4 linked regions of the Struthio camelus genome follow. The main gene of each other region encodes a partner of the protein of the gene in region 3 in a complex. Links are inferred from orthologs where the notes say so. Each region holds a gene or a part of one and is shown on either strand. Other genes may lie near its edges.

Region 1 (7,834 bases), on a different chromosome or scaffold from region 3:
CTTTTAGACTCTCCAGGCTGCCTTGTGATAGAACTAAGAACATTTCTAAGGCTGACCAGATGCAGAAGAGATGTCATCTGTTCCTCCTAGACCCTCCTTCTTCTGCTATACCGAGCAGACGTCTGGGACAGCTGTCCCAATAACTCATTCTTCTCTTTCCGTTCTGAGTCATTCCTGCCTCTGTGCATATGGTTTCTCTATGCCTACACATCAGGATAAGCATAGATCACTTGTTCGGCAAGTTCATAAAAATGTATCCCTCTCAGCAGAAGATAGATGCAGTACTTTACCTGATAAGCTTTCAGCACTCTGCTTAGTCATCATGCTTTTATTATCTGCTATTTCACAGAATTTCACAGAATGGTTGAGGTTGGAAGGGACCTCTGGAGATCATCTAGTCCAACTCCCCTACTGAAGCAGGGACCTCTAGAGCACGTTGCCCAGGATCACGTCCAGGCGGGTTTTGAATATCTCCAGCAAAGGAGACTCCACAACCTCTCTGGGCAACCTGTGCCAGGGCTCTGTCACCCTCACAGTCAAGAAGTTTTTCCTCAGGTTCAGATGGACCTGCCTGTGTTGCAGTTTGTGCCCGTTGCCTCTTGTCCTGTTGCTGGGCACCACGGAGAAGAGACTGGCCTCATCCTCTCAGCACCCCCCCCTTCAGATACTTGTACACATGGATCAGATCCCCTCTGTCTTCTCTTCTCCAGGCTCAACAGGCCCAGCTCTCTCAGCCTTTCTTCAGAGGAGAGATGCTCCAGTCCCCTAATCGTCTTTGTAGCCCTCTACCAGACTCGCTCCAGTACTGGGGAGCCCAGAATCGGACACAGTACTCCAGGTGAGGCCTCCCCAGGGCTGAGCAGAGGGGCAGGATCACCTCCCTCAACCTGCTGGCAACACTCAACACAAAGGATACCATTGGCCTTCTTGGCCACAAGGGCACATTGCTGGCTCATGCTTAACTTGTTGTCCACCAGCACTCCCAGGTCCTTCTCCACAGAGCTGCTTTCCAGCAGGTCAACCCCCAGCCTGTACTGCTGCATGGGGTTATTCCTGCCTAGGTGCAGGACCCTGCACTTGCCTATGTTGAACTTCAGGAGGTTCCTCTCTGCCCAGCTCTCCAGCCTGTCCAGGTCCCTCGGAATGGCAGCACAGTCTTCTGGTGTGTCAGCCACTCCCCCCAGTTTAGTATCGGCAGCAAACTTGCTGAGGGTGCACTCGGTCCCTTCATCCAGGTCATTGATGAATATATTGAACAAGACTGGACCCAGCACTGATCCCTGGGGGACATCGCTAGCTACAGGCCTCCAGCTAGACTGCACCACTGACCACAATCCTCTGAGCTCGGCCATCCAGCCAGTTCTCAATCCACCTCGCTGTCCACTCATCCAACCCACACTTCCTGAGCTTACCCATGAGGATGTGATGGGAGACAGCGTCAAAAGCCTTGCTGAAGTCCAGGCAGACAACAGCCACTGCCCTGCCCTCATCTACCCAGCCAGTCATTCCATCAGAGAAGGCTATCAGATTGGTCAAGCATGATTTCCCTTGGGTGAATCCATGCTGACTACTCCTGATCCCCTTCTTGTCCTCCAGATGCTTAGTGAGGACCTCCAGGATGAGCTGTTCCATCACCTTTCCAGGGAGGGAGGTGAGGCTGACAGGCCTGTAGTTTCCTGGCTCCTTCTTGCCCTTTTTGAAGGCTGGAGTGACAAGGCTATCATGAAGTCCTGCTCTCCCGCAAAAGATACAGCACCATCTCCTATTAGGAAAGCGTGGATAGTTCTCTCCAGTACTTTAAGAGCAACAGAAGAAAACTAGATTATGGAGTATATACCCCAAACTGTTAGACTCCAAAAATATAAAAAAATATTTTTATCTATTATTTTCTGATACGCTTGCATTTTGCTTTACTACCTTCTGAGCAGGTTGCACTAACTGGAATATGCACAGAATGGAATACATGCAGGATATATACAGAGAAGGCAATTCACATGTACACAGTACCCTACGTTTTTTCTCATAAATTCCCTGATTTTTAAGCTTTCCCCTCCAATATATCTTTGCATTGTATGACTGATCTACAAAAGATATACCAGTCCCTGTATATCTTGGAGGTAGTTTAATTAAACCTGCTACTTTGATGCATTAATAAATATATTGTACTTTCAGCATGGTTCAAGCACTTCACAAATACAGATACGTCACAGAATCTCTCTGGCTTTGTGCTGTTCCTCAATGCCCCTAACGCAGAGAACAGATCTCATTCTCCATTGATACAACAGTGGACACACTGGCACGGAGAAGACATTCTCCATTATCCTGCTCATAGTAAAGGGCTCTGACAAATACTGACCACACTACAACTTCTCTCCTTACTCTAAGAAGGTTCCTGCCATGCTCTGCAACCTTAATACTTTTTTTTTTTTTTTTACTTTTGAACATGAAGCAGTATCTCTGTTCAATTTAAGCAGGTAAATAAGCTCAAAAATACAGTTAAGTTCAAAACACATTGTATTTCCTTTCCTGCATTGTATGTGACCTTCGATAAAACACCAAAAATCTTTTAAGGCTATCCAACAACTGACAGCAATAGCTGGTAGCGAGTACAGTGATGGATCTAATGACTATACTGTGCAGTACATAAGTTCCTCCTTAATAGGCCTATTTCCGTTACAGAACTTGCATCCCTTTGATGCGGTCTTACATGCTACGCTAGATGCAGCAAATTAACTACTGATTTTGCAGTGATCGGGCAGACTTAATGTCACTGTCTCTTGAGTGGCTTTAATGACACTGTAAGTTCTGACTGCACTTCTCAAACTAACCCTTTACAATTCAGATTTTTCTTTAATTAATAGCCAGCATCCCCTTAGAAAAGGGATCATATAATAAAAGTGACGGGGGATCTGTGTTATCATAATCAAATTAAAATCTTAAGCATATTTATAGGGACCTAGTGAATATCTAATCTCAGAAAAGTTAGCTAATGCATTTTGAGTTTTTTTTCCTTCAGGCCTCCCAAGTTAAAAATCCAGTTTGCCTCAGAACAGACTGTATTTTGCCATCATTCTACATAAGGAGACATCACTGAAGCCTTCTGCCTGACAAATCAACAGACGATTAGAATACAAACTGCAGCATTTTTCATTCACTGATGGGTCAAGTTCCTTATTAATGGGCATGTGTATGGTATGGCATGGTATCATACCCAGCTTACTGAAACTGAGGCCAGGGCAGCTTGGCAGGTTAAGTGATCTGTCCAGAATTTACAGCAAGTCTAACATCAGAGCAATAAACAGGAGCTAGTTCCCATGTCTGAGCCGTCTAAGCTGAGCTGAACAAGCCGAGTGATTTGAGTTATACAGACTAACTAATGTTTCTGGACCAAGAGCAGGCTTTTAAAGCCATTGCTTTTTGTACCTGGCTTTAACCAACAACGTAAATCCTTCACTTTTATCAGCATCAAAACATCATGCACTGAAGAAAACCTAAAATGAATGTTCAACACACTCGTAGTAGAGTGCAGTTCATACCCAGGTGAGGCTGCTACTGCTCCACAGCAACCAGGAAGTCCTTCCATTACAGCTATATTGGACTGGATTTCTCCATCTTTGTTTGGATAGCCTCCTCGTCCTACTAGATAATGCCATGTCTTCTCATCATTCTCAATATCTGAACATCATTAAAGTAAAAAAAAAAAAAAGTCAAATATTATGCATATTCTGATTTTTAAAAAATTTCTTACTGTTCCCACTAGTCTGTAGACTCCAAAGCAAAAAAAAAAAAAAAAAAAAAAACCACACACACACAGCAACAGCCATTATTTATCTGCAACCTGAACACAGAAATCATTGTGCTGACATAGTTTCTGCTATGTCTAATTAAAACGTGCTGTTGTTCATATAGGATTGACACAGCTAGTGCCACAGAAGTAAAAAATTAGCATACGCCCCTCATCTCTCGAGTCGCCTGGAAGTCCGTAGGGTTTGGGGAAAGGCAAGGAAAATGGCACCAGGCTATCAGAGGCAAACTGAGAGACTGTATTTGCTCTTTCCTCTATTCGGAGCCCATGGAAGAAGGCAAACCGCTTGGGAAGGGCATCCTGTTTGATGGGCTAATGTAAACGCGGGAGAGCAAAAGCTGCTTAAGAGCAGTTAACCGTAAAAATAACGCAGTATCGACGACGAGTGGCTCCGTAAATTTAACAGCGGCGTGATTTAATGTCGTTATATAAAAACGCGGCCTGGCTAACGGATCCCGCGTAAAATAGGAAAGTGGGAAGGACGAGAGCAGGCAGAAAGCGGCTCCGGAGCAGCCGACAGCTCTCCGGGGAGGAAGGGCCTGCCCTGCCCGAGGGCAGCGGGGTGGCTGGGTGCCAGCCGGCTCCTCTCACAGCACGCCGGGGCACTCCGAGGGGCAGACGAAGCCGATCCGCCTGGCCGCGAGGGCCCAGATGACCGAGGGCGGCCCAGAAACCCCCCTCCGCCATTACGGGGCGAGGCGGCCCGGCGGCGCCCGGGGAACGGCTCGGCCCCCGCGTGGCGGAGAAGGGCCGGCTGGAAAGGAGAAGAAAAGGAGCATTATCCGGCTCTTTTCCGGGCCTACCCGGCCGGGTAGGAGGCTGGGGCGAGGGGCGGCGGCGGACGGGCTGGCGGGGCCGCGGGCCGGCGGCTGTGAGGGGGCCGCGGGCCGCCGCCATGGCAACGCGGCGGGGGGGGAAGGGGCGGGCGGTGGCGGCCTGCCGGCGGCTCTGATTGGGCGGGGCCGCGCGGCGGCGGCGCTGATTGGGCGGGGCCGCGCGGTGACGGCTTCCGGCGCGCGCGGCGGGGCGGGGGGCGCGGCGGCGGCGGCGGCGGCGACGGTTGGGGCGGCGGCGGCGGCAGTGACGGTTGGGGTGGCGGTTGCTCGGTGGCGGCATGGACACGCTAGGCAGGAAGGTGGTGGTGTGCGACAACGGCACCGGGGTGAGTCGCTCCGGCCCCGGGACCCGCCCTGCCGCCGCCGCCGCGGGGGGAGAAGCAGGGCGACTCCCCTCCCGGCCCGGCTTCCTGCCGGCACGCCCGGGGCCCGGCAGCGGGCCGCGCCCGGCCTGCGCCGCCCCGGGGCCTCCAGAGCTCGCCGCGGCGGAGCGGGGCCCCTGCGGCCGCCCGTGCACCGGGCGGGGGAGGCTCCCGGGGCCGACGGGATCCGCGCGCCCTCGGCCCTCCGCCCGCGCCGGCCTCCGGGCGCGCAGCGAGCCGCGCAGCGGCGGCGGCGGCGCGCTGAATGAATGGGCCGGGGGAGGTCGGCAGGGGAAGTCGGGCCCTGCGGCGGCTGGCGGCCGGTGTCCTTTGAGCCGGAGCGAGCGAAAAGGGGCATTTGAGTCCTTGCACCCGGGAAGCGGTAGTACCTCGGTATTTACTGCCGTCGGGTCTCTATCTGTGCCCGTCCCCCAGCATCGTGGCAATTTTATTACGCGTATTGTATTCCTATATATGACTTTAGCGGGTTTCCCTTTAGTAAGGAGTACCAAGCAGAAAATACGGTTTTATTTTATTTTTTTTTTATTTTTAATCGGAACGCTCAGTTTATCCGTTTCGCATTTAGGCAGGCAGAGATGCGCCCTCTGTAATGCGAGTTTTTTGGTTTCACGGAAGCATGTCATGCAGCTTGTGGTTAAAAGGCAGCGGGGTCCTTTCATTAATAGCTTTATGACCTGCAAAATTCACCGAATTGGGAGTCGTGGATAAAGAGGGCGCCAAAGCTTTCCTCCTCTTCCTTTCACCTTTCCTGCCCTACGTGAACATGCACGTGCACACTATAAATTTGTTCTTTTGTTAGTGTTATGGAGGCTTTGAGGTGCCTCAACAGGAAGTGACAAAGATACCATTTTAAAGGCATCAGATAAGATGTTATAGGTGAATTTCCGCCTTAGTAATTTTGTTTAGCAATTGAAATTTTTCCCCCCAGAAAAGCAATATTATCAGGGGAGTTAACAAAGCTGACAGGTTGTCAAGAACTCTCGAATGGCAAAAAAAGAAGTATTTTTTAATAAACACTTTGAATAAAGATTAAAATATTTAAAGCTAAAGATTGAATAGTTGAAACAAAGAACGTCACTGTAAGAGGTTCAACACCCTGCCACATGAATTAAGGCATTTCCAGTAAGCATCTGAAATGATTAGAATGATTCAAAAAGCAGAACATCGGATTTGACAGTTCTGAAGTCTTCCTCTTTTTCCTCCTCTAGAAAGATTCTTTTGAGTAAGTGCTGAGGTAGAAAGCCTTTGGGCCTTTTTTGCAATATCATTTACACAAAGGAAAGAAAAAGAGGCGATTTATCGTTTTCCATTTACAAATGGACATGGAGGCAGGGTTCTGTTGGTTGGTTGTTTTTTTTAAGTGTTTAATGCTCATACTGTCACCTTTGTTGGAAATTTATGTAATTTCAGGATTTGATCCTTTAATACAGCCTTTTACGTAGCAATGAATGGCTTTAAAAGGTATAAAAAAGTATAAAAATATTGTTTTAAAATGTTTAACATATAGATAGTGACCATAATGTCATACTGTAGTCGATCTCAGGGATGAAACATGGGACAGAAGCGGTTATTTTTATGCAGTTTTGCAAGCTGTAGTTGGGACACGATTTTTGTGCAGTGAGACATATCTGTGTGTCTTTTTAAATCAAAGAGACATCTGATATATTTTTTTCTCCATGAATTGTACCACCTGGATATAAACAAATACGACAAATACTGTTATACTGCAGTTACAGTGCCTGGAGTAGGGGTCTGTGTCACTTCAACTTCTGTTGTTTTGGGTTGAGTTTTACCTCTAAGCAGAACAATGCATGTATGGCCATCCCCTGGCCCCAGAGATGACTGTGTGCTAGTGCAAAGTATGAAGAAATGGTTGTTGTTAAATCTGTAAACTTAAAATATTCAAATTGAATTGGGGTAAGTACACCAGAAGAAAATTCAGTTCATAAGATCCATACGTCTTTCAGACTCCACCTGTATACTGAGAATATCAAGTCCTGTATTGCCAAACCAGCATTTTTATAGTAAACATTGTTATATGGTAAAGAAGAGCTGCTTTACATTAGAATAGTGTCTGATACACTGTGATATGTCTTACTTAAACCATGACTAAAGTTAAATCTCTTGCCAAGTGCCGGAAATAAAAATGCAGGAATTTTAGACTCAGTTTTAACTTTCGGCTTCTTTTGAAACTTACTGTTCTTGTCATGCTGAAATATGAGTTTTTAATGTATTTGACTGCAATCAGTCTTTGAGGAACAAGTGACCAAGAAGTGTGTTCTTGCAACACACAGTGTAAGAGAGGGAAGCTGGCGATGCCATCTTGGAGCGTTTGAGATGAATGTTCTTACTGGTCTAGGTCAAATGATAAGTTACTTTATGATCTGGATAGTTTTCTAATTATATTTAAAATCTTTTTTTGAGAGTTGCATCAATTAAAAAAATCAAGTAAAGAGTCCTGATAAGAATAATATTATCCATTTTAAGACTTTTCATGTGACATGTTTGTGAGCAGATGTAGAAAGCTTCCTCATTCTTTTCGTTTGAAAGAATACTTATACGTACAAGTTCTTACTGTTTGATGACTCAGTAGGAAGTGAAAGAGTCGGTATAAAACCACAGTGCGATGGAGAAGAAACTATATATGGTAAAACTTCTTACATATGTGGTCTTGTGTACAGGCAAACTAAGTAGCTGTTCTTAAAACATTTTTTGGTGTATAGCAAATATTTGCAAAAATACATGATGTTGAACTCTTGGCTTCCTCAGAAAGATGTACAAATTCATTGAATTATTAGTGTTAAAAGCAA
Region 2 (7,047 bases), on a different chromosome or scaffold from region 3:
CGCCAGACTCACCGCAGCAGCTCGTGCTTCTTGGTGCGGTTGTGCGCGCTGAGCGCCTTGAGCTCGGCCTGCCTCTTGCGCAGCTCGGCCAGGACCTCATCCTCGGAGTCCTCGGCAGGACGGTCTTCCGACTCCAGCAGGCCCTGGGCAACGAGCTCCTCCTTGATCCGCCCCTCCAGCGATTTGGTGTGGGGGACGCTGCGAAGGGCAGAGAGCGGGTGCTATGCGCGCCACAGCCAGCAGATGTGGCAGCATGACTGCGCACGGACTCGCCTTCTCCCCCAAGGCGCAGGGAGGACATAGATGCTCTGTGGGCCAGGACCTGGGCAGGGCTGTAGCACAACGGGAGCTGCCTGTGCTCGAGGCTGTGCTACCTTTTGCCCCAACCTACTCTGCTGCAGTTACTCGAGGGACAGGTTTCTTTTTGTTTCCTCCCAACGCTTGCAGAAGACATGGAACCCCAGGCATGTTCAGACATCCAGCAGGCAAAGCAGAGCTTCGGGGCCACCTCAGCTGCTCACCTGAAGGGCTTGTTCTGGCTGCGGGGGGAAGTGCCAGCGCCGTCGGCTCCCGAGTCCTTGCTAGCAATTTCAGGAATCGGGGAGTCCTCGACGGGGGAGATGATGTTCTCCTGGCAACCAGAGGGCAAGAGAAGGGTCAGTTTACCGAGCTGCAGTGACACTGCCCGACAGAGCCACAACGCAATCCCGAGCCCTCTCACCTCCACAAGGGCCTGCAGGAGACGCTGCGTCAAGGGCCCGAAGGGGCACCCGTCCTCAGGCTGCTCGTGCTGGGCCTCCGACTTCTTCAGCAGGGCATCAACATCTGGGAGGAAGCAGGGAAAACAGTGAGCAGCAGGGGAGAGGCCAACGCCTCAGCGGGACTCCGGTGCAAGGTGAACTGTTCTCTCCTCTGCAGGGACAGCTTTACTCCATTCTGTCTCTGCCACCTGAGCCTCCCTGCAGCTGCGCTCGAGTTGTGCCCTCCCCAGGGCAGCCACCGGAAAGGGAGGAACCCCCAGGGCAGCAGGGCCAGCGTCCCAGGGGCTTGGCTGTGCTCCGTGTAGGTGCCTTGCAGCCCCCTCCAGGCCGTTCACAGAGGGCAGACGCAGGCAGGGATGGAGGCACCTTTAGTGTCCAGCTCAGTCAGCGGTCCCAGGATGCCTTTCTTCTTGTCAGCAGCAGCTGCTGCCCGGGCTCCGTCCTTCTGCTCCTCCAGCAGGTCCTCCTGGGCCCAGCGCTGGGAGTAATGCTTCCCCAGAGGCGGGATCTGCAACCACAGGACAAGCGAGAGCAGCGGTCAGCACAGCGTCCCAGGGCCCTCGTCCGCGCCAGAGCTCAGGCACGAGGAGACGGGCCCTGCCGTGCCACGGAGCAGGCCCTACATCCAAGGACCCAGCCCCGCACACTTCACCTGGCTCGCAGCCAGGCCAGTACCCGGCTGCCCTGGGGCTCTACAACCCTATCCCCAGGGCTGCTCTCCCGCTTTCCCAAGGCCTGGGCCCTCCCCTCCTCTCCCACAGCTCCTGCGCAGAGCAGATGGCAGAATTCGGCACCTCCAGACGCGGCCCTGGAGGCGGCGCAGCTGCCCGTGAGCTCCAGGGCCGAGCTCCTCGGCAGCCGCCCTGCCCCTTTGGCTGGCCCGGCGCCGTTCGGCTTGGCGGTGCCACCGGCCGGCGCAGACCCCAGCGAGTCTTTAAGCTACACAAAGCGGCAACCACAAGCTGCACTCTCACAGGAAGAGCAACCACAACGTTATGAGTGAAATCTAAAACCGTGCTACGGGAAGAGCGTTTTCCTGATCGTGACTCAGCCATCCCCACTGTACAAGAGGCACGGGCCCGTCACACACGCAGCGCTGGCAGGACACGACCAGATCAGGGAGCTGGTACCGCGAGCACCAGCCCTGGTCACAGCGTCTTTGATCAGGCAGGGAGCCCTCACCCAGGGCTCTTCTGTAGCCGAGACCAGAGATGTCATCTCCACGTGTGGAAACTGTGGCTATCCAACAGCACCACACGTGTAACGCAGCAGAGGTGAGAGCAGCCAAGTCTCTCACCCCATCCTGGCTGCTACTTCTCATCTCCACAACTGCCCCCGTTCCCCAGTTCTTCACCCGCTTACAAGCGGGTGACAACAAAAACAACCGTCTGCTGCCGGTCCTCTTCCCTAGAGCGTGTAAAATCCTTCTGCTCGGCTCCCTAGAACAAACAGAGCCCTGCAGCTGGCACAAGGGAAAGGGGGCTTGGGGTCTCTCAGACAAGGGTCCAGAGAGGTCCCTTGTGCTCAAAGTTGGATGTAACAACAGGAACTCTGCATGTAAGAACACCACGAGTCTCACAGGCCGGGACCACGCTGCAGCAGGAACAGACAGACTACAGCTGGGCACTGCCTCCCAAGGACAGGAAAGCGCACAGCAACAACCTCAGCACTGCCCCAGAACGGGGGCAGCAAGTTGCTACCTCGTGGCCGCAGCCAAGACACTCTCTCACGGGAGCCAGAAGAGAAAAGTGTGCAGATAAATTCCTGCTTTTGCAGGAAAAAACTAGTATCATCCCCACAGGGCGAGCGTTCACTGTAAGGCACAAGACTGCATTGACAGGAGACTGGCCCAGGATTAGAAAACAGACAGGAAGAGAGGCTACAAGACTGGGTGGGCTTTAGATCTTTCACCTTGTAATGCTCAGCCTCGTCCTCAGGCGGCTTGAGCAGCTCTTCCAGGACTCTGACTTCCTCGTTGGTGAGGTCGGCGCAGTACGGCTCCACCGAGGCCCAGAACCTGCGAGGACGGAGCAAACGGACAGTAAGGGGGGGCTGCAGAGGCACAGCGTGGGCCGCGGCAAAGGCCGACTCACACCCCCCCTTCCCTCCAGGGCACCTCTTCCCTCGGGTCCAAGCCAGCCCTCTCGCCAGGAGCTGCAAGGAAGGAAACGGATGATCCAAATGTTCCCCATGCACCTGTTTGGAGCATCATTTTTGGGAATCCGGGGAACATCAATGGGATCATCTGGGAACTCGTATTCCTGGATCTTGGGCTGCAGGTTCTTGGATTTGGGCCGACCAGGGCCAGGCCCTGTCCCGTGACCCCCTTTGCCCTCCAGCTTCTGCTTCTTGGGCTTCCCATGTTTGACAGAAGTGCCCACATCATGCTCCTTGCTCAGCTTCAGGAACCGCCGGTCACCCTTCTTGTCTTGCCAGTCTGTCAGGATCTGGAAGAGAGCAACACCATGTCATGCCACACAGCGCAGCCTGGGGACGGGCCCGCTGCCCACACCAACGGCAGCCCAACAGGCCGCCGCAGCCCCTCGGCGTGAACGAACAGGCGAGGGAGCGGGCGGCGGGCCCCAGCGGCCCTCGCCGCGCGGGGCAGGCGGCGGCGCCCGCACCTGCGTCTCGGCCTCCAGGACGCGGAGGCGGCGGCTGGCAGAGGAGAGCAGCGTCTCCAGCTCCAGCTGCAGCGTGTCCAGCTCCTCGATGCCGATGCCGTCGTCCTCGGAGCGGGCCAGCACGGCCGTGTAGCGCGGGCACACCTTCACGTGGTCCACCGACTTGAAGTCGTGGAACTGCAGCGGGCAGTCCTTCAGCTCGCTCATGGCGGCGGGCACCGGGGGGAGCACACGGGTGTGTTCGGGGGAACGGGGCGGGGGGCAGAAGGATCGGGGCACTGAGGGGAAGCGGGGGGGGGGTGGAGAGAACCGGGGTGCTGAGGGGAACCGGCGGAGGGGGGGGGTTGGGACCGGGGCGCTGAGGGGGCGGGGCCGGGACGCAGGGAAGCCCCGGGGGGGGGGTCGGGGAGGTCCCGGGGGCGCCGGGGCCGCCCGGAAGGCGCCGGCGGGGCAGCGCGTGCCGCGGCCGGGCGGGGGGGCGGCGGCGCCGCGGGGCGGGGGCGGCCGGGAGGGCCGCGGGGGGCCGGGCCTAGGCCGCTCGTCCCTTCCGGCCTCCGTAGGCCAACGCCGCGCCCGCCTTGCCCCGCCCCACACTTCCCATTGGCTGAGCCGCGCCCAGCACCCGTCGCCTATTGGCCCGGCCCACGCTCTTTTTGCCTTCCCTAATATGGATGCAGTGACGGGACTATACCAACGCGGCGGGCGGGCGGGGGGGGATGAGCGGGCCGCCGCCATCGCGCACCGCCATCGCGAGCCGCCGTGCCCGCCGCCGTCACTTTCCTCTGCGCGGTGAGGCGAGGCCAGCTCGGTGCGGCCCGCGCCCTTCGGCGCGCGGCGGGAGCCTCCCCCGACCCCCCCTCCCGCTGCAGTGGGAGCTCCCGGCCATCCCGGAAGAGAGGAGCCGCCGGGGACAGCTACTTCCGCCTGCCGGGACCGGACCGGAGCCGCCACCATGGTAGGGGGGGGGGTGGCGGGGGCTGTGTGGCTGGGCCCGGGGGCGGATGGAGGGACCTGGCGGGGGGGTTGGCGGGGCCTAGGCCGGCAGCGGACCGGGGGGCGTTGATGGGGGTGGACTGGGGGCGGGCGGGGGGGCCGGGGGTGAGGGGTCCTGAGGGGGGCGGCTGGGGCGAGCTGGGGGTTTAGGGGGGCGGCAGGCCCGAGTCGGGGGTGGGGGGGTCCTGAGGGGGGCGGCTGGGGCGAGCTGGGGGTTTGGGGGGGGGGCGGAAGGCCCCAGCCTGGGGTGGGGTGGGGGGGCTGAGGAGGGCAGCTGGGGCGGGCTGGGGTTTTAGGCGGGTGGGGGGGGCCTGAGAAGGATGACTGGGGGTTTGGGGGGGCGGCAGTCCCGAGCTGGGGGTGGGGGGGCCCGAGCCGGGGTGGGGGGCAGTGGGCCGCACCGTTTGCCAGCTCTGACGCCGTGTCCCCGCAGACCGCCACGCTGCGCCCGTACCTGAACGCGGTGCGCGCCACGCTGCAGGCCGCCCTGTGCCTGGAGAACTTCTCCTCGCAGGTCGTGGAGCGCCACAACAAGCCCGAGGTGGAAGTCAGGTACGGCCAGGGGGCGGCTGTGCCTGCGGGGCCCCCGCTCCGCTCGGGCCCTCCGCCATCCTTTCGTTGGAGGCAGCTGCCCCCGGGCTGCTGCTCTGCCTCTGGCTGGTTTCCGGGGCCAGCGTGTCCCTGTGGAGCTGTTGTGCTGCGACGCTGCCAGCTCAGCTTTAGCAGCACGGGGAAAACGGTCTCTGCTCTGGTTTTAGTGCACTGAGTCCAGCACTGTTCCTGAGCCTAGCTGAGTCCTGGTTTTGGACACTGGGAACTGAGTCCTGGTTTTGGACACTGGGAACTGAGTCCTGGTTTTGGACACTGGGATGGGTTAATTCTTGTTGGGGTTTTTACACCAAAAAACAATCCCATCTAGTCACTGCTGCCTTTGCTTAGCATGTCTGGGCCTGACGCGAGGGGACTGTGCAGGCTGGAGAGGCCTCTGCACTCAGCAGCTGCCACCAGGCAGCGATGGGGCTGGTCAGCCCGGGAGCTGAGAAACTGCAAAGAGGAGGGAGGATCTGCCTTCATGATGCGTGTGCCTGGGAGGTGGAAAGCATCGTGTTGGAGCACAAAACAAACTCCCAAGTGTCCGTATTGGCTGTGATCCCTGCAGCTCCCTGCTTGCATGCCCTGTGTGGCCAGCAAGTGCTCGTTAATCAGTGCTGAGCTTCTCTTGCATCCACAGAAGCAGCAAAGAGCTGCTGTTGCAGCCAGTGATCATCAGCAGGAACGAGAAGGAAAAGGTCCTTATAGAGGGATCCATTAACTCTGTGCGAGTCAGCATTGCAGTGAAACAGGTGAGCTGGTGGGAGGGGAGGGAACAGGCTGGTGGCTTGTGTGTTGCTTGGAGGAAGCCTCACTTCTGCTTTCTCTCTGCAGGCTGATGAGATCGAGAAGATCTTGTGCCATAAATTCATGCGTTTTATGATGATGAGGGCTGAGAACTTCTTCATCCTGCGCAGGAAGCCTGTGGAGGTGAGGTGACCCGTGGAGCTGCAGAGCAGCATCCTGCTGTGCTTTTGGCACTGCTGGGGAGAGGGGGGTCTCCGGAGCCGAAAGAGGACGTGTGCTCACGGGGTTGGTGCGCTAACTGTTTCTGCCACTTCTCTCTTCTCCAGGGCTACGACATCAGCTTTTTGATCACAAACTTCCACACAGAGCAGATGTACAAGCACAAGCTCGTGGACTTTGTGATCCATTTCATGGAGGAGATCGACAAGGAGATCAGTGAGATGAAGCTGTCTGTCAACGCCAGGGCTCGCATCGTGGCAGAGGAGTTCCTCAAGAACGTGAGGCTCTAAAGCGGGAGGCGATGGTTCCCGTGTCTCTGGACGAGGGTGCAGCTCCGGCCTGCCGTGACCCTCGCGCGCGGAAGCCTGGCCCCGGGCTGTCCCCGTCTGTGGCGCAGGTGGCGGCAGCCCCCTGGGAAGGTGCCCTTTGGGGCAGGGGAATCACGTGGGGAGCGGGTGGGGGTACCTGGAAGAGCTACTGCCCGCTTTGCTCCCTCCTCAGTGAGAGAGGAGCGCAGCGTGACGCGCCAGCTTTGCAAGGCTGCCAGCGGGCTGGCGCTTTGCTAGGGCGCGAGCGGCAGCTGCGGGACGCGGACTGCTGAGACGAGCTGCGCGGTCCCCAGGGCGAGGGGAGGCAGGGAAGTGAGCGCAGAGCTCCACAATCCAAGCAGTGCCGAACGGCAGTTATCGTTCGTCTCCGTCCCTGCTGATCAGCCAGACGTGGCTTGAGGCCGCCTCGGCGCAGCGCGGATGGCACGCTGGGCGCGGGAGGGGAGGGCGAGCGCGCGAGGAGCCGGCAGTCAGCGGCCCTGTGCCTTCCCTTCTTGCCTTGCAGTTCTGAACCGTGGTGCTGAGCTCCCTGGCTTCTCCGGCGTCCCCGCGGGGCCGGCCGCAGCCCGGCCTCGCCGCCTGCGGAAGAGAGGAGAAGCCGCCAGATGCTACGGAGCCGTCCGCGGGGACGGGCGAGAGGACCGGGTGTCCTGAAGCGAACCGTGCTCGTGTCAGACCGTGCCGACTCCCTGCTCTTCGTTCCTCCTTTGGTTTTTTCCCTCCCCTCCCTTCCCCCTTTGTTTTTCTTTTTTTTAACAATTCCTCGTTTGCTGTAACTCGGCT
Region 3 (7,622 bases):
GCAGCGCAGCCCTCACGCAAATTATATTAGCACTAGGAAATCCCGACTGTCATATTCAAGACCATTAACAAACTCTGTAAGGAAGACAGATCTAAGATTTAGCATAAATGCAGATATACTTTGCTTAGCAGATGGTCATAATCCAGACTTAATTTTTTAATTGGATCACTTATTTCCTGTAGGAATCCTGCTAATTCTTTCCTTTTCTGAGTTCTACCTTAGCCACAGTCAGTCTGGAATGATCATTGGTGCAACAAGACCCACTGTCTCTTCTTGCTCCCGTCCCTTTGGACTCACTGTCTTTCTGAAGAACAGGGTCATGCACTCTATTCATTTATTGAAATAGTAAGAATTTACCTAAAACAATTGGGAAATACAGTAAGCACTATTTTGAAAATCCTAACTGGATTCAAGCAAGCACCCAAGTGCTTGCTTTGTTGGGACTGGCCAACAGAGGTCTCTGCTGACCTGCCCAAGCTTTTGCTTACAGCTGTACACAGGCTTTTGGGAAAAGAGTTTATATTCCAGTAATGCCTGGAAGCTCAGTAGGGACTGGGGCCAAGTAAGAAATTGATATTATGCAGTTTAAGGGAGGAAGGGGGGAAATCATTGGCATATATATGTAAGAGTTTGGAATGAATAATCATAGTGGTCTCTGGCCCTTGGATACATGTTTAATCTCCACTGCCCTGTTTGTTTTGCTCCTCTTTTAATGTCAGCCTTCACACAGAATTATTTAACGCAGGATACTGTAGCAGTTTGTGATTAAAATTTTCTCTCTTTCAAGACCTTAGAGTCCTCTATTCAAGGTCTACGAATCATGTAAAGATGGATTTCCGTGATCTAGCAGGACAAACTGCTTGACAGAACGCAGCTCCCACATCTGCACAAACTCGAAAAGGGAGGAGGAAGGTGGAATATTTGGAAACACTGAGAAAATACAGCTTGGCAGATTTTCTTTGAATCTAAATTTGGTGAATTGTGTTGGTTTCAAAATCAGCTGTGATTGTTTTTTTTTTTTTTTGGTTGGTTGTTTCATTCCATTCTTTACCAAAGCTGCTCCTTAAGTAGTTTATTGCAGGAAGTTATGAATCACTAACTTAAAAGGGGAATTTTATGTAAATTGTCTGCTAGAAATAATAATAATAATAAAAAAGAAAAACAGATTCTTTTCTGTTTTGATTCTCATTAACTGCTTGAAAAAGGAATATTATGGGAAGAAAATCAGGTAAAGAAGTTGAAAAACGCTGAATTGATTTTTCTGTCCTCAAAAGGGGAAGAGTTCATCTTAACTGGAAGTTTTTTAAAAGTTCACAAATGAAGATGAACTAGCTAGAGTTCTTTCAGGGGAATTACTCCCTTGGAGAATGTGGTAATTTTAGGTGATGTATGATTTTGTCCTAGTGACTCTTAATTCTGTCTGCCTGGCATTAAATCCAGTAATAATAGGAAATTAATCCAAATGTCTTTTCCATTCAGTTTGGCGGGTCATAGTTCTCTGAAGGCAGATGACTAGAATTATTTGTAGTTAGCTTTTATGATTTGTACAAAGACTTCTCACTGTACAGTGCCTAGGGTACAGAATGGAAGAGTGCCTGCAGAAAGTGAGGCAAGAATCTGCTGAGCCAAAAAACTTAGGAGGATAAATTAGAAACAAATCACTTCTTAAGCCCATGTGGCCACACTGGCCTGCATGTCATGTTAGAGCTGAGTGCTCTGCCTATAAAAATCTGTTTAGAATGACCAGGAAGAAATTAACTACATCTACTGGTATGAACAGCACACGCTGGCTTCTGTACAGACACTTTGTCTCCAGGTGACTATCTTTTGAAGTTTAGCTCTGAGCCTTGGTAACTGACCAAGGCACTTACACATAACTTCTTTTATTCACGTGGTCTCATTAAGATAACTGGGTATTGCTGCCTTGAGGCTTGATCCCGGCTGTGCACTGGAGGGGATTATCTGGCTCAGGGTATTGCCTCACAAAGCTTGAGACTTTTTCATTTCATTTCTGAAAATGCAGAAGTGTCTTTAAAAAAACGATGACTAAATTTACCACTTCCTCTGGAACCACAACGTTTCTTCATGCATTGCTTGTGTCTCAGCTCCGAATGATTGAAAAGGGAGGGTGGAAGACAAGCCCACAGAGTGGACAGCTTCTGTTGTATTTCTGTAAGTGAAAGGTGTCCGTCACGGAGACAGATCATTTTCAGGTGAAATGTTTGTTGAATGCAAAGAATTGGCTGTTTTTCCGTTCCTTCTGGTTTTATTTTGCTCCCACCTTTCTGGCAGTCAAGCATGGTTTTGCAATTTCCCCTCCCTTCTAAACATAAAATAATGACTGTTTAGCCCCTTACTCATCTTCTAGTCTAGTGATCTGCTGTTTGATTCCTCTTGTGATGGGGATGGGTTTATCAGCTAGGATACAATGCCACGCTAGTGTAGTTAAATGTCTTCTGGATCAAAGTGACTCTGTCAGCCAGCTTGAATGATGGGCAGAGGAGCTTGAATTTGTCTTTGTCCGCGTGGGCATCCTACTAGATGCTTATGTCTCACAGAAAGTAATGATTTGGTTTCTGAAGTCACCTTGAAAGTGTGGTGTTTTATTTCCAAAAATCTATTGAAAAAGCTGTATTCTAAAATTTATGGCCCAAATAATACAGAGGTATGGAAAAATTCATCTAATGAGAGAGTGGAGAAAATGGGTCTTTAAGTTTTTTGCCTTTTTCTGCATGAAAGATCTAGAGAAGGTAAAATGAGCATTTTTGCTCCAAAAAGCCAATGAACTGACACTTGATAACACTGCCCCAGCTTACTGTCTCAGAGAGAAATGCTTATGCTAGAAGTTTGAGTTGGAAACAAATTGGAGATATTTACACTGGAAAAGAACTGAGCAAGGGGAATATACACAATCATCTCTGGGCATGATTCAACTTAAAATTGCCCGACGTGAAGAGGATGGGGAAGAGCTCGGCTCCTTGTGCACCACCTGACATTCACAGATGGCAGGTTTATGGATTTGCAGGCCGTTTATCTGATCTGAAGGTCTTTCTGCTGCCATCCTTCCTCCAGTTTCTGTAAGCCATTTTGAAGGTAGGTGCTTTGTTTTGCCTGTACCATTTCCTTAATCTCCTCCCCCATCTTTAACACTGTCAGAGGGCGTTCTTTCTGCCCAACGTGGGTGAGAATTCACTAGCAGATTTCAGCTAGTTGCACCACTAAGCTTGCTAACGTGTGCTTGTTGTATGTGATTGGGTTAATGGTGCCCTTGAAAGCAATATTCACAATAAAGCTCATGGTTGCCATCTTAATTACAGGATAGCTGCTGGCTGCATATGCTCTATGTTACGTGCCAGTTAACAGACTGTTAGGGGCAAGAAATGGGGCTGCACAAGCAGGGACGCCAGAGACTGTTCACAGGGGCCTGCCTAAAAAAGCTCACCATGAAAAGAAGCTGCAGAACTGCTGCTACTTTTTTTTTTTTTGTCTCCCCAGCTCTAAAAAGTGCCCCAGCAAAAAAACATGCTCACGTCTCCAGTATGCGTGCAGGGGGGTAGTTCCTCTACTGCCTCTCTGAAAGGCCTTGAGCTTTACAAGGCGTTCTGCAATGGATGCAGGAGGATCTCTCCGCTTAAGGAAACTGAGGCAAAAGAGGTGAAATGGTTTGGCCAAAACTTAAGTCAGGTCATTATCTTGCTTTGGATAAATGCTGTCTGCTCTCAAATGGTCCCCTGCGGTGGCTGCTCGCTGTGCTCATTAGCACATGTTCAGAGAACAGCTGCAGCAGGAGCAGCCTCAAGACCAGAAGCAATGAGGAAATGCAATAGCAGATAAGAAACCGCCTTGCAGGCAGTGCTGGGGGGTGATACTCTTCACTCCCTTCACTTAATAAGGTAGGGGGATTCCCACCGCAGAAGTTAAACTGACCTATCGTTTGTTTGCGTCCCTGCCTGGAAGCAGCGCCAAGATCTGATGCGAAGCGACAGGGAGATGAGTGGTCCTTAGGGCTGTGTCCTCTCATCCTGCACAGGCATTAAGTTGCTGGTCTCTGTGCAGAGCTTGGCAGTGATGTTACAGCAGACAGTGATGGGATACAGGGAAAGTCTGAACCGTCTTGCTCAAGAGCAGAGGCAGAGCAGCTGCAAGAGGAAGAAAGAAAATGTGCAGGCAGAAGTGAAAACTTCAATCTGCTGCAGCCCTCAGCTGCATCTGAGCTGTGGTGGGAGCCCTTTTGCTGCGTTTGGGTAGCCGTGATGCTGGGAGAGGCCAGATGCTGCTCTGGGCAAGCTGGTGCCAGAGGATGGGGCGTTTTGCCACTCCTGAGACAGACTTCACCTGCTGTGGAGATTCACTCCTGGCCAGAGCTGCAAAGACCTACAACCTTCTGGGGACATCTCCAGCCCCAGGGTGCCAGGGCAGCCCTGACCTGGGCGAGCCAGTCCCATGGGTGCTGCGTAGGATCGTGGCAGCGTGTGTGAAGGGATAGCTGGACTTCAGGAGCAAAAAGAGAGATGAGTTACCCCCTCAATGCTGCACCCCAGAGCCTTTCTCCATGGCTGACCTGTAACCTGGGAATTAATTCCAGAGCTTAACAAATATGGGCTTGTTGTATCCAAATCCTGCAGCTGGGAAACCCCATCAGGGCCTGTCCTCCTTGTGCAAGAACCTGATGCTGAGCTCAGATACCACTGTGGCGGTTCAGCGATGGGACGGTCCCCTCTGAAGCTACCCTCCAAGGTAAGGGGCGAGGGCATCCCTCTGCGCGGGACTCTTGCAGCAGGGCGATGATGAACGTGTCTGGGCGTCCCCCATCCTCCTTTCTCCTTCCTGGCGCTTAAAGCTAATAAGGCGTTGAGCTACTGGCGAGGAAAGGGATAAAAATCAGGTCGCTCTGAAGCGTGAGGCAAAAAAACAGAGGGGTGCATCATATGGGTTGGGTAGTGGAGACGCAGATGGAGCCGGCCTGGGGCCAGCAAAACCCCCCAGGTCCTGCTGGGCTCGGCTGGACGCAGGAACCAGGAACAGCCGTCTCCGAGCGTGGCTGGATCCTGCTGAGCCGTGAGTTTCTGGCGCTGGGAGACGATGCCGATGCGCATCCCACCTCGGGTGGGCTCCGACCTCCGCCTGCGGAGCTGGCGCTGGCAGGCGGTCCAGGCGCTTCCCAGGGCGTCCTTCCCCCCGAAGCGCCGAGGACGGCAGAGCCCAGAGAGCCTCGCGTGGGGGCTGGACCGGGCCGGGGGGACAACCAGGCCTTGGCAGCCACCGGCATGGTGGGGGGGGGGGAGGTCAAACCGGAGGGAGGCGATGGGGCTCGTTCGCCTGCAGCGTCCTGCCCCGCTGGTGCAACGCGGGGGAGGTTGCAGGGCTGCCGGCATCCCGGGGCTCGCACACACGCAGGGGCAGGGCGGCCGCCGGAGCGGCTCTGCACTCCCCCAACGCCCACGTAAGGAAGTGGTTGCATTTCTCGGAGAGGAAAAGGGAAGTCGGGCTGCCTCGGAGAGCCAGCCAGCCACTTCTGCCTTTCGTTCGCCGCCGGCCGGGCTGCAGTTCGTGTCGACTGCCCAGAGTCCATGAACTAGCCCCGCGCTGCCAGGTAAGTCCCCGGGGGCTGTGGCTCCCGCGCCCGGGCGAGGAGCGGCGTCGGTCCGGCCCCGGGACGGGCCGCCTCCCCGGCAGAAAACTCACGATTTAAAAAAAAAAACCCAAAAAACTTTGCTTGACCGGGCGAGGCAAACCCCCCCCCCCCCCCCAGCCGAAGCCTGCGGGACGGGGCTGCTTCGGGGTCGACTTCCCACGCGAGCGGCGCCGGCTCAGGCGGCGCCCGGGGGATTTGGTGTCGTCGCCGCGTTTCGGACGGTTCTTTCCAGCGCTGTCAGCGAGTTTGAGCTTTCTCCTCTTGCAAGAGGCCCGGGAGGGCCGCCGCTGCGGAAAGCGCCCCGCGGCGGGGATCCCCGCGGGCGGGCGGCCGTCCCTCCCTCCCTCCCGCGGCGGGCTGGCCTCTGCCTTCCCCGGCATCGGCCTCACGCGAGGAAGAGGAAGGTCAGCGCCTCCGGGGCGCCCTTCGTCCGCCCGGACCCGCGTGGCTCGGGAGGGCGAGCATCTCGCGGGTGGGCGCAGCGGCAGGCCGGGCAGCAGCGCTCCGGCGCCGCCAAGCCGCCCTGGGACGACGGGGCGGCGGCGGCCCTCTGCCCAACTCCGGCCCAAGGGAGAGTGCGGGCTCCCCCCGCCCCGTCGCAAAAGCCCTCGGCTCGCGCCAAGGTTTTATTATCGCCTCCGAGGATGTTTCCGAATTGCTCGGGGCCTTGAGGCTGCCGGAGGCGGGCGGGGGGTAGATAACCGGGCTGCATCGGGCCCCGCTCCCGCCCCGTCCGGCCCTCCTCAGCCAGCCGGGCCGCTCAAACGCCCTTTCCCTCCCTCGGGAGGCGGCGAGCGCGGCCGTGCCGGAGCCAGGGCCCCCGGCCCCTTTCCCTGCGCAGAGGGGCTGCAAGGCGCTCTGCCCCGGCGGCCGCTTCCCTGCTCCTTGCCGCCAGCACGGCGCTATCTCCCGCCTCGGGAGGGAATTAATGACGTTATGAAACCAGAAGCCGCGGAAACGCGGTGTAAACGGCCGCAGGGAGGGAGCGTTGCTCAAACCGAAGCCCTCGCGCGGCTTGCTGAGCGTTGTTTCCGCGGCGAGGGGCGGGCGCTGTCCGCTCCCCGGCTCCGCTGCACCGCAGCCGCTCCCCTCCCGTCCCATCCCTCCTCCTTCCTGGAGCCCTTTCAGCCCGTTACTGCTTTAACACGGTTTTCTGCTCCAGAGCTTTCGTGGCGCTAGCAGCAAGCGCCTCTTCGCCGCTGGTTTTGTTGGCGGGGCAGCCAGCGGCTCGGCCTCGCAGCCGGGGAGCTGGTTGCGTTGCTCCCCCCGGGCCGGTGGGCTGGGGGGAGCCGCCTTGCTGCCCTCTGCCCGGCCGCTTCCCTCCGGCGCCGGGCGAGCTTTGGAGTTTGCAGGAGCAAGGGAACCGAGCCGGCTCTTAGAGGCGCTAAAAAAGATGCTTGGGAATATCGGTGTTTCTAAGGATGGTCCCGACGGGCCGGCGTGGCTCCCGGTCGGCGTCCCTGGAGAGCCGGGGTGGGCGTCTGGACGCGAGGCCGGCTGCAGGCTGCATGACGCTAGCGCGCAGCAGGATTTTCTGCTGCCTGTTGGGTTTTTTTATTATTATTATTCTTTTTTTCCTGCACGCGAAATGCAGGTGACGGAGCGCCGCCGTTTTTCTTTTCGCCGGCCCGGGAGAACAGAAAGCGGCGAGGGGAGACTTTTTTCCTTTCCCCGTAATGTTGCGAGCTGCCAAAGAAAACGGGCAACATCCTGTTAGTTCCCAAAATACCCGAGTGCCAAAGGCTGTGCCTGATCCCCGGGCGCCCCGTCCCTGCGGGGCTTCGGCCGAGCGGCTGCGCTCGGGGCCCCGAAACCGCCTGGCCCCTGCTCGAGCAGCCGGACGGGGCAGGAGGGGGGAACGGAAAGGGGCCGAGGCCCCGCTGGCAGCCGCAGCGCCGAGCTCAGCTAGCGGGAGGTATTAGTCACCAGCGCGCCGGGGCCGAGCAGCGGGAAGCGGCTCCCGCGCCTGGAAACGCTCGGGGGAAAC
Region 4 (7,892 bases), on a different chromosome or scaffold from region 3:
ATTCAGTCAGAGTTGTCTGAAAAGAAAGATCATGCTTTTTGTAACAGGTTTTATTCATTTGAAGAATAATGCCCACACTTATATAATTGATAACTGTGAACTAACATATGCTTTTTTTATGTGTTAGCTTTACATTTCTGCATAGTAATATTCTGTCCTAGGTCAGATTGAACTCTACACACATTTACCAGTGATGAAACAGCTGGTGGAGCAGCTTCAGCAGTGGGAATTCCGTGTCTGTGGAGTTTTTCTTGTTGATTCTCAATTTATGGTGGAATCTTTTAAGGTATCCGTTTGAAATATATTGTAAAAATTCATATTAGTAGAGAACAAGAAATCTGAGTAATTTTAAGGAGCTAGTTCTGTTTAGTCTGAAGAAGAGAATGCTAATTGGGGGCGGGTGGGATCTGATGGCTGTTGTCACCTGCCTAGTGAGCCGTTATGGAGAAGAAGATCGAGCCATATCCTTCTTGAAGATGCGCAGCAAAAGGATGAGAGGCAATAGACACAAGTGGCAGGAAGGGAAATTCCAGTTGGATAGGAGGAAAAAAATCTGCACTGTGAGAGTGGTCAGACTGGAACAGGGGCCCACAGAGATTGTGTAATGTATGTTCCTGGAGTTAATTCAAAACTCACCTGCATGAGATCCTAAGCAACCCGATCTGACCTTGCAGTTGGCCCTGATATGGATCAGATGATGTCTAAACGTGCCTTCCAAACCAAATTGTTCTGTGATTCTATAAAACTTTCTCAGATCTGGAAAGAGAGCATGCCCCTTTCCCAGTCTAGCAATGAGAATCCTGAGAAGGGCTTTGAGTTTTGTTAGATGTCCTTCCCAGTGGCAGATCCAGATTTGAAACTCTGGAAATAGATGGCAAATGGGAACTTTAGCCTCTCCCTTTTCCAACAGAGATAATGACTCCTCACTTGGCCTTGTGTCCATGTTTCATATATTCAGTAGCTAGTTTTGGTTTGTGGTCGTGTCCTGCATGTTTGTGTTGTGTTTGTCTGTACTTAAGTATGTCATTTTTCATATTCCTTTAAGTTTATCTCTGGAATTCTGGCAGCACTGAGTGCAATGATATCTTTAGAGATTCCACAGATCAACATCATGACCAAAATGGATTTGCTGAGCAAGAAAGCTAAGAAGGAAATAGAGAAGTAAGTTCCCCAAATATTTGTTGTATAGCCTAACATCTGGTGATAAACGTCGCTCAAAATTCAGTCTACTGTTTCCCACAATTAAAATCTACTCTTTTGGAATGGGAAAAGATGCAGTTGTTTTATATTGAACACAGTCTTTACATGTCTAGGATAGGATGCTTACAACTTAGTCACAGAGTCAAAAGGCTAGCTCTATGCATATACATATTTATCTTTTTCTCTAAATAATTATTTTCTGTTAAATCATTATCTAAAAGCACAATGACTTACTTGTTCTTTAGCAAAGGATTCTTTTGATGTCAATGAAGACTTTTTTTTTTTCTCCCAGGTACTTAGATCCAGATATGTATTCCATGATTGAAGACTCTACAAATATATTAAAAAGCAAAATGTTTAAGAAACTGACTAAATCTATATGTGGTTTGGTAGGTGTATTGCTTTTCGTTCTAACTGATATTCTTAAATTCAGTCCTGTATTTATAAACAACACTATATGGCTACTGCCTTCTTTGCTGTTATAGATATTCTGTATACTATAAAAAAAATTCCCTAAAACTGTATATTTACATAACAGACTTGATAACAGCACCAGGCTTTACAAGATTAGCAACTTTGGAGAACAGGATTATCTAATGTATAGGACTTAGGACTGACGGGCAGATGTTTTCATTGGGGAATTGCCTCTGGTTTGCAGTGTGGTTTTAAATAGTATGTTGGGAGTCCAGGCAAGGAAGATGTAGTTTGGTTTAAAGAAGTAGCTTAGAGTGCTATGAGTGTAAAAGAACTAACTTGCTGCACGCTCTTACTAATGTCTTTTAAACGTTTTCTCTAGATTGATGACTATGGTATGGTTCGATTTTTACCGTTTGATCGCTCTGACGAGGAAAGTATGAACATAGTTCTGCAGCACATAGACTTTACCATTCAGTATGGAGAAGATCTTGAATTTAAAGAACCAAAGGTAAGGTCCTTCTGATGATACGATGAAAAACTTAAAAGCTTCCATAATACAAGTCATAATATAAATGTATTTTGACTTGTTTAAAAAATGTATAGAGCCTGTGTGTTGTATGTAAACTATAGATTAGGAATAAGTTATGTCATGTACAATACAATGACACCATGACTCGTGTCTTAAAACGAGTTCCAGGCCCTATCTAGTTTGATTATTCAGATCATAAATCCTAAGGAACAAATTCAATACTTTATTTATTTATTTATTTTCAGTTCAGTTTTGTACTTGTGGAATATGCAAAATCCCTGGGTCTAGATTTTGACCCATACAGTTTGGATAGCTCTAGAAACAGATTGCTTTCCAGAAAGTTTTGCCACTCGTTTTATGGAATCATATTAGACATTTTCCTTTTTTTTTTTTTTATAACTAAAATGCCAGAGGACAGATAAATTATTACAGCTCCTTGGGGGGAAACAGTTAAGTTTTACTTTTTTTGTTTTCTCTCTGGCAGGAATATGAAGAAGATAAATCTGCTCTTGTTGATGAATATTTTCAAGATCATGTGGATGAGTAAAGCACATACATTCAAAAACAAGGGGAAATATCGTGGTTGTTAAATATTTAAAGTATCATGTTTGTGTAGTTTGTTTTTTATCTGTAAGATAACTAAAATTTCTAATGAAAAGTGATCCTGTATGACCTCATAATTATTTTAATAAATAATTTCATTCTTATGTCTGTGTGCTATAAAATATGTACGTATGTATTACTGCTGCTGTATGCAAGTTCCCCACATATAGTTGTCTCATTTAAGTATAGGAACGTTTGGGAAAAGTCAGTCATTTGCAGAAGAGGCACAGTCAAATACAAATAATTTACAATAAATATTTATCTCTAGTACGGGGTAGTTTGTTCTATTATTAGATGAGCGAAAAACTTGTTTTAAAGGGTGAGTAATGTACTTCATTAACTGAATCTGCGGTGGGGAAAGAGATAACTGGCAGCTACAAAAGGAAAACTGATCAGTAGCTGGACTCTTGACCTTCTTGAAGAAGATGAGTATTTTACGTTCACTTTGGTGGAGCCCATATTTTAAGCCTCCTTTTTTAGGCTGTTTTTGTACAACTCGCATGTGGCTTTAAGCGGTTTTTACATTGATAACATCTTAAACAGTGAAACATTTAAAATAAATAAAATCAGCTTAAATAGAAATCAGTGCTGTTCTTGTACAGTTGCTGCAGAAAGTGTGTTACTGAATGAAGAATTCAGTAACTAATAAGGTAAGTAGCTGCTTTTTTAGCTCTGAATAGAGAACTTGTACACCTACTATGACCTATATAGTAGAATGTGCGTTGGTTTCACAGAGAAGCAACATTTAAGCACTTTATCTTGGAAGAACATATTTACTGAAGTAACTAAGTACAAGTAAAAATAATCCTAAGAGCTGTCGTCCCATGCCATCTGATCAAATGCAAAGGTACCTCAGTCCTGCATGTGCACCCCCCCCCATGGGTATTTGTGTGCTCAGCCTTGCCAGTTTTATGAATTCTAGAACAAATCTCATAATATTCAGCATTCTTAAAACCTTGCCTCCCAGAGCCAGACAATTATGAGAGCTGAGACCTCAGTTTTGTGAGAGTTATCACGGTCACCAGAAAGAGCTGAAAAATTTAGCTCTTCAAGGCTTAAAAGCATGACGCAAAACCCCGGAGTATATGTATGTATATAAATAATTATTGTGGAGGTTAACTTCATTATGTGGGGAGTCTTTTTATGCCTGCCTGTAGCTAATCACATCACTGGGTGCTTTATGCCTGATCTATGCCTTGCATTCAGCAACAGATAGCCAGTGACTGATGCAAGTTTGCCAGTGCAAACCTGAATGCAGACATGGACAGTTTTGAGTTGTACTGGCTGAACTAAACCATGCAAATACTGGGGAAGCTTTGGCGGCTTAGCTAACTTCCAAGCTTGCACATCCTCGGGGATGGCAAGCCCGGGGAGGGCTACCAAGATGATTAGGGGACTGGAGCAGCTCACCTATGAAGAAAGACTGCGAGAGCTGGGCCTGTTCAGCCTGGAGAAGAGAAGACTGAGAGGCGATCTGATCAACGTGTATAAGTATCTGAAGGGGGAGTGTCAAGAGGACGAGGCCAGTCTCTTCTCCGTGGTGCCCAGCAACAGGACAAGAGGCAACGGGCAGAAACTGAACCACAGGAAGTTCCATCTGAACCTGAGAAAAAACTTCTTCACTGGGAGGGTGACAGAGCATTGGAACAGGTTGCCCAGAGAGGTAGTGGAGTCTCCTTCCCTGGAGATATTCAAAACCCGTCTGGACGTGATCCTGGGCAATATGCTCTAGAGGTCCCTGCTTGAGCAGGGGGGTTGGACTAGATGATCTCCAGAGGTCCCTTCCAACCTAAACGATTTTGTGATTCTGTGATCCTTGGGATGAGTCATGCTTGTGGAGCGTTGAAGGAGAAACCTAACTCCTACAGTTGGATTACTTTGACTCAGTTTCCGCATCTCCCCGTTTTTTCTCCCTGACTCATGCAATGATGTTATGCTCAGTCATTTGCCTGGGGACAAATGAGGGTCCCTGGGTCACAGGGGAGGTTATGGTTAGGATTTTAACAGAGGAGTGGAGAGTTCAGTGAGGCTCTGAAAACAGTATATCCTTCCAGACTGCCCACCCAACACAGTAGCCCCAATTGTTTGCTTCCTTATACCCAGTGCAACAGCAAGTGCTCACAGACCAGTCTGGCAGGCTACACTTTGCAAGTCAGGTCACAGCAAGAGATGCACAGGAGTGCTGCACATCAAACACTCAACGGAGAACTGGCTGCAAGCAAAGGGCCCCAATCTGGTGCACCGCGCTCTCTGTGCTCTTGTCACGCTCTGATCCTCGCTGGGGAAAGAAGCTTGCCTCTGTCAGCAAGGAAGCGTGATCTCACAGCTGCTTGAAAGAAGACAGCACAGAGGGATTGAGAGGGCTTTACTTGCAGCGCCAGCCAATGCAAAGGGAGAGGGAGGGGAGAAACATGACTCCAGAGGGCAAGAGCAAACAAATCCCCCAACAGGGTGTGATTTCAAAGCATATTCTCCTGCCTGTCTGTGTTTCTGCAGCGAGCGGTGCAGAAACTCTCTGGGCGGTGCGAGTTGCAGGCCTCCGCTCTGGCTTCCCTTCCTTGCACCGCCTCCGCTGCCTCATTTCCTGCAGCGCAGGCAGAAGAGGAAGGTTTCCTGCAAGCTTCTCAGTGCTCCCCTCCTGCCCGGCCCTGCCAAATTGCATCCTGCCCTTCGAGATGCCGGTGAGGGGGATCCGCTGCACTCACACCGGAGTGCTGTGTGCTTGGCCTGCCCCAGCTGCTGGGAGAGAGGGCAGGAGGGCTTGGGGGAGAGCGGGCAGGCCTGAGAGGGCGGATGCTGCCCACTGCTGGGGGTCACAGGGCTGGGGTAGGGGGAAACAGGCTTTGCTGTTGGGGTGTGACTATGGGCAGCTGCGTTCAGGAGAGATGGGCTATAGCTGCCGGGAGCCTCGCTGGGAAAGGGCAGTTGCAGTTTATGGGAGGCTGCTGCGAGGCTAGTATGCTCCTCTTCCTCTTCCTCCTGTGAAGGATCCTGCCTGCGTCTCTGGGTGCAGCTAGCTGTGTTTCTGCAGTAAGGAGGGTGGCAGTCCCTCCCAGCTACACCTCTGGGCACTCCCAGCTAGCTCCACTGAGGAAGATGGCATTAAAGCTGTGCTTTGCTATGGTTTAGTTCATACCATCTTCCTCATGTTGAAATAAACTGCTTTCCTGTTAGGTGCTGCCTACCCTGTTGCTGCCCCTCAATTGCACTTCCCTGCTTCCCAGACCCCCTGCAAAATGACTGCTGCGATGAGATGAAGGCTTTCTAGTGCCCTGGAACTGCACTGTGTAAATGTCTGGAAGGCGCCTTCAATTAAACTTGTTATTTTTTAAAAATCTGTTTCCCAGGAATAATCTTGTCATTCACACAAGGGTCTTCTTTGTTTTGTTCTGTTCTTTCACTGACAAATACCAGTTTTAAAGTGCATGAGCCGGTCTGTTTTGGTACTTTGTGGATATACAATAAGTCTGGATTTGTTTATTCCTATCTACTATTATTAGCTAGACATGGAATAAAATATAACCTTTTTTTAAAGGACCAAGTAATTAGAAAAAAAATTAATTTTCCCTCATACACTTCTATAATGGTAAGCCCCATAACTAAGGCAGGAGAACAGGGCTGTTACCACCTCAGAGCTGTGCCAAGGGGGCTTAGAGAGCCTGAAGGTGAAGCAAATGCATATAGATCTACCATACCAGTTTTTTATCATATCTTCCACCACTGCTACCATAAACGGTGTCTGTGATGATTCTTTTATGGCCTTCACAATGTTGTTGAGAGCTAGGCCTAATGTGAAAACAGCAATCGTTTGTGCAAGGTAAGATTGCTAGAAGCATCACTAACTAAACTCTGAATCCTATTTGATGGACACCCAGGAGACACTTCAGAACCGCTTATGTTGCCACGAGGACATTGAAATGCCTATTTTCAGTAACATTCATAACTAGCCTTCCGCTCTGTCCATAGGCTTACCATTCAACTTTAATGGACTCTGATACCAAGTTAATTGGGAACATGGCACTGTTACCCATCAGAAGCCAGTTCAAAGGCCCAGCACCTCGGGAAAGTAAGTTTACAGTAATCTCTGAACATTTGTTTTCATATTGCTTGTAATCATGTCACAGTTTGTTCATAGCCAGCTCTAGCATTGCTCTGGTATAGTGGGTGTCTCAAGTACATGCTTTTTATCAATGTCCCCGGGCAGATGGGATTGAGAAAATTATGGCCAAGACTTAACCAGGCGTTTTAGATCTTGATTCTCAGAGTGAAGAGAGAAGCCATGGTTTAGAAATGGAGTGCTTTTCAGTTGGTAGAGGAGGAAAAACGCTCTTAAATGGTTAAGTGCTGCAAACCAGGAAAAATAATTACCATACAGCAGTTATCTGGGAAAACTGTGCCCCCTACTCCCAAATTCTCTTACTTTAGAAATAAAAAAAAAAAAAAAAGTACAGTTACTATTTTCATGCTTCCTTCTCGGGTGCTCTACAATCAAGTTTTACTGTGGTTTTCAGTAGGCTTTGAGGAGGACTTGTAACTGATGTGAACCTTCTGACATAAGAGGAAGTAGAGGTTGAGCTAAAGAGAACTAGCACTTTGGGGACTGAGGCTTGAGAGTCACTGCTGCGCTGAAGGATGAGGAGTAAGATAGAGAGCGCTTTAGGGTACGCAACTTCATAAGTTGAAACTTAAGTTCCGAGCATCCGGAGTCCACTGAAGAGTTTTACAGGTAGTCTGAAATGGATTCCGCTTCAGCACTTCAAGTAGCACTTCCCAGGCACATCTCACAGTAGGGTGGTGTTTCAGTTTGAAAAGGGAAACATTTCTGGATGTAGGCAGTCTTATGTTTTAGCAAAAGAAGGTGAAAAGTGCATATGAGCTTGTGTGACTATATATTGTCCCCTGCTTTTTTCAAAGAGGATAATGAAGAAGTTTGGTTGTGGGGGTGTACTTTCTCCAAAAATATTTGTCTGCCCTCAGAAGACTTTTATGCTGTTAAATTACTCGACTGGTAGTAGGAAACAGTGTGGAATTGCTGAATTGTTGCCCTTTGTAAAGTGAGAAGCCATGGGGGGAAGGAGGAGAAGGGAATTAAAACTCCTGCTAAAAGTAGGAAGCGTAAATATTAAGGTCCGAATTCGCCAGT

What was found.
Region 1: ARPC1B (region 3) and ACTR2 share a complex: the UniProt entries of both Homo sapiens proteins name them as parts of the arp2/3 complex. The link is inferred for Struthio camelus from reciprocal best matches to the Homo sapiens genes ARPC1B and ACTR2.
Region 2: the proteins of ARPC1B (region 3) and ARPC4 are in contact, whole or in part, in a cryo-EM structure (PDB 6YW6), measured with the Homo sapiens proteins. The link is inferred for Struthio camelus from reciprocal best matches to the Homo sapiens genes ARPC1B and ARPC4. Residues at the interface, in NP_005711.1 of Homo sapiens: Glu9, Pro10, Asn28, Gln54, Thr72, Arg74, Asn96, Arg97, Ala98, Arg100, Ser143, Thr144, Cys162, Trp204, His206, Leu245, Pro246, His263, Ala319, Gly320, Lys326, Asn327, Ser328, Met350; in NP_005709.1 of Homo sapiens: Gln17, Cys21, Leu22, Glu23, Asn24, Phe25, Ser26, Ser27, Gln28, Val29, Glu31, Arg32, Glu45, Leu46, Leu48, Glu124, Gln125, Tyr127, Lys128, His129.
Region 4: ARPC1B (region 3) and ARPC3 share a complex: the UniProt entries of both Homo sapiens proteins name them as parts of the arp2/3 complex. The link is inferred for Struthio camelus from reciprocal best matches to the Homo sapiens genes ARPC1B and ARPC3.

What each region holds. Positions count from the first base shown.
Region 1 is NC_090944.1:141,298,170-141,306,003, forward strand, and holds the start of ACTR2 (actin-related protein 2), read left to right. Parts: upstream 1-4,831; 5' UTR 4,832-4,919; coding exon 4,920-4,967; intron 4,968-5,287; exon of another isoform or gene 5,288-5,396; intron 5,397-7,834. UniProt on the Homo sapiens protein: ATP-binding component of the Arp2/3 complex, a multiprotein complex that mediates actin polymerization upon stimulation by nucleation-promoting factor (NPF).
Region 2 is NC_090955.1:9,933,293-9,940,339, forward strand, and holds ARPC4 (actin-related protein 2/3 complex subunit 4), read left to right. Parts: upstream 1-4,045; 5' UTR 4,046-4,337; coding exon 4,338-4,340; intron 4,341-4,811; coding exon 4,812-4,930; intron 4,931-5,609; coding exon 5,610-5,721; intron 5,722-5,803; coding exon 5,804-5,899; intron 5,900-6,042; coding exon 6,043-6,213; intron 6,214-6,769; coding exon 6,770-6,775; 3' UTR 6,776-7,040; downstream 7,041-7,047. Other genes in the region: TADA3 (transcriptional adapter 3), read right to left, coding at 13-198, 522-631, 722-825, 1,128-1,269, 2,673-2,778, 2,958-3,208, 3,386-3,592. UniProt on the Homo sapiens protein: Actin-binding component of the Arp2/3 complex, a multiprotein complex that mediates actin polymerization upon stimulation by nucleation-promoting factor (NPF).
Region 3 is NC_090956.1:4,575,425-4,583,046, reverse strand, and holds the start of ARPC1B (actin-related protein 2/3 complex subunit 1B), read left to right. Parts: upstream 1-4,609; 5' UTR 4,610-4,737; intron 4,738-5,298; exon of another isoform or gene 5,299-5,593; intron 5,594-7,622. Other genes in the region: ARPC1A (actin-related protein 2/3 complex subunit 1A), read left to right, coding at 788-826. UniProt on the Homo sapiens protein: Component of the Arp2/3 complex, a multiprotein complex that mediates actin polymerization upon stimulation by nucleation-promoting factor (NPF).
Region 4 is NC_090958.1:17,142,106-17,149,997, forward strand, and holds the start of ARPC3 (actin-related protein 2/3 complex subunit 3), read left to right. Parts: upstream 1-4,884; 5' UTR 4,885-5,133; coding exon 5,134-5,430; intron 5,431-6,715; coding exon 6,716-6,815; intron 6,816-7,892. Other genes in the region: GPN3 (GPN-loop GTPase 3), read left to right, coding at 162-286, 1,046-1,161, 1,493-1,589, 1,997-2,125, 2,631-2,693. UniProt on the Homo sapiens protein: Component of the Arp2/3 complex, a multiprotein complex that mediates actin polymerization upon stimulation by nucleation-promoting factor (NPF).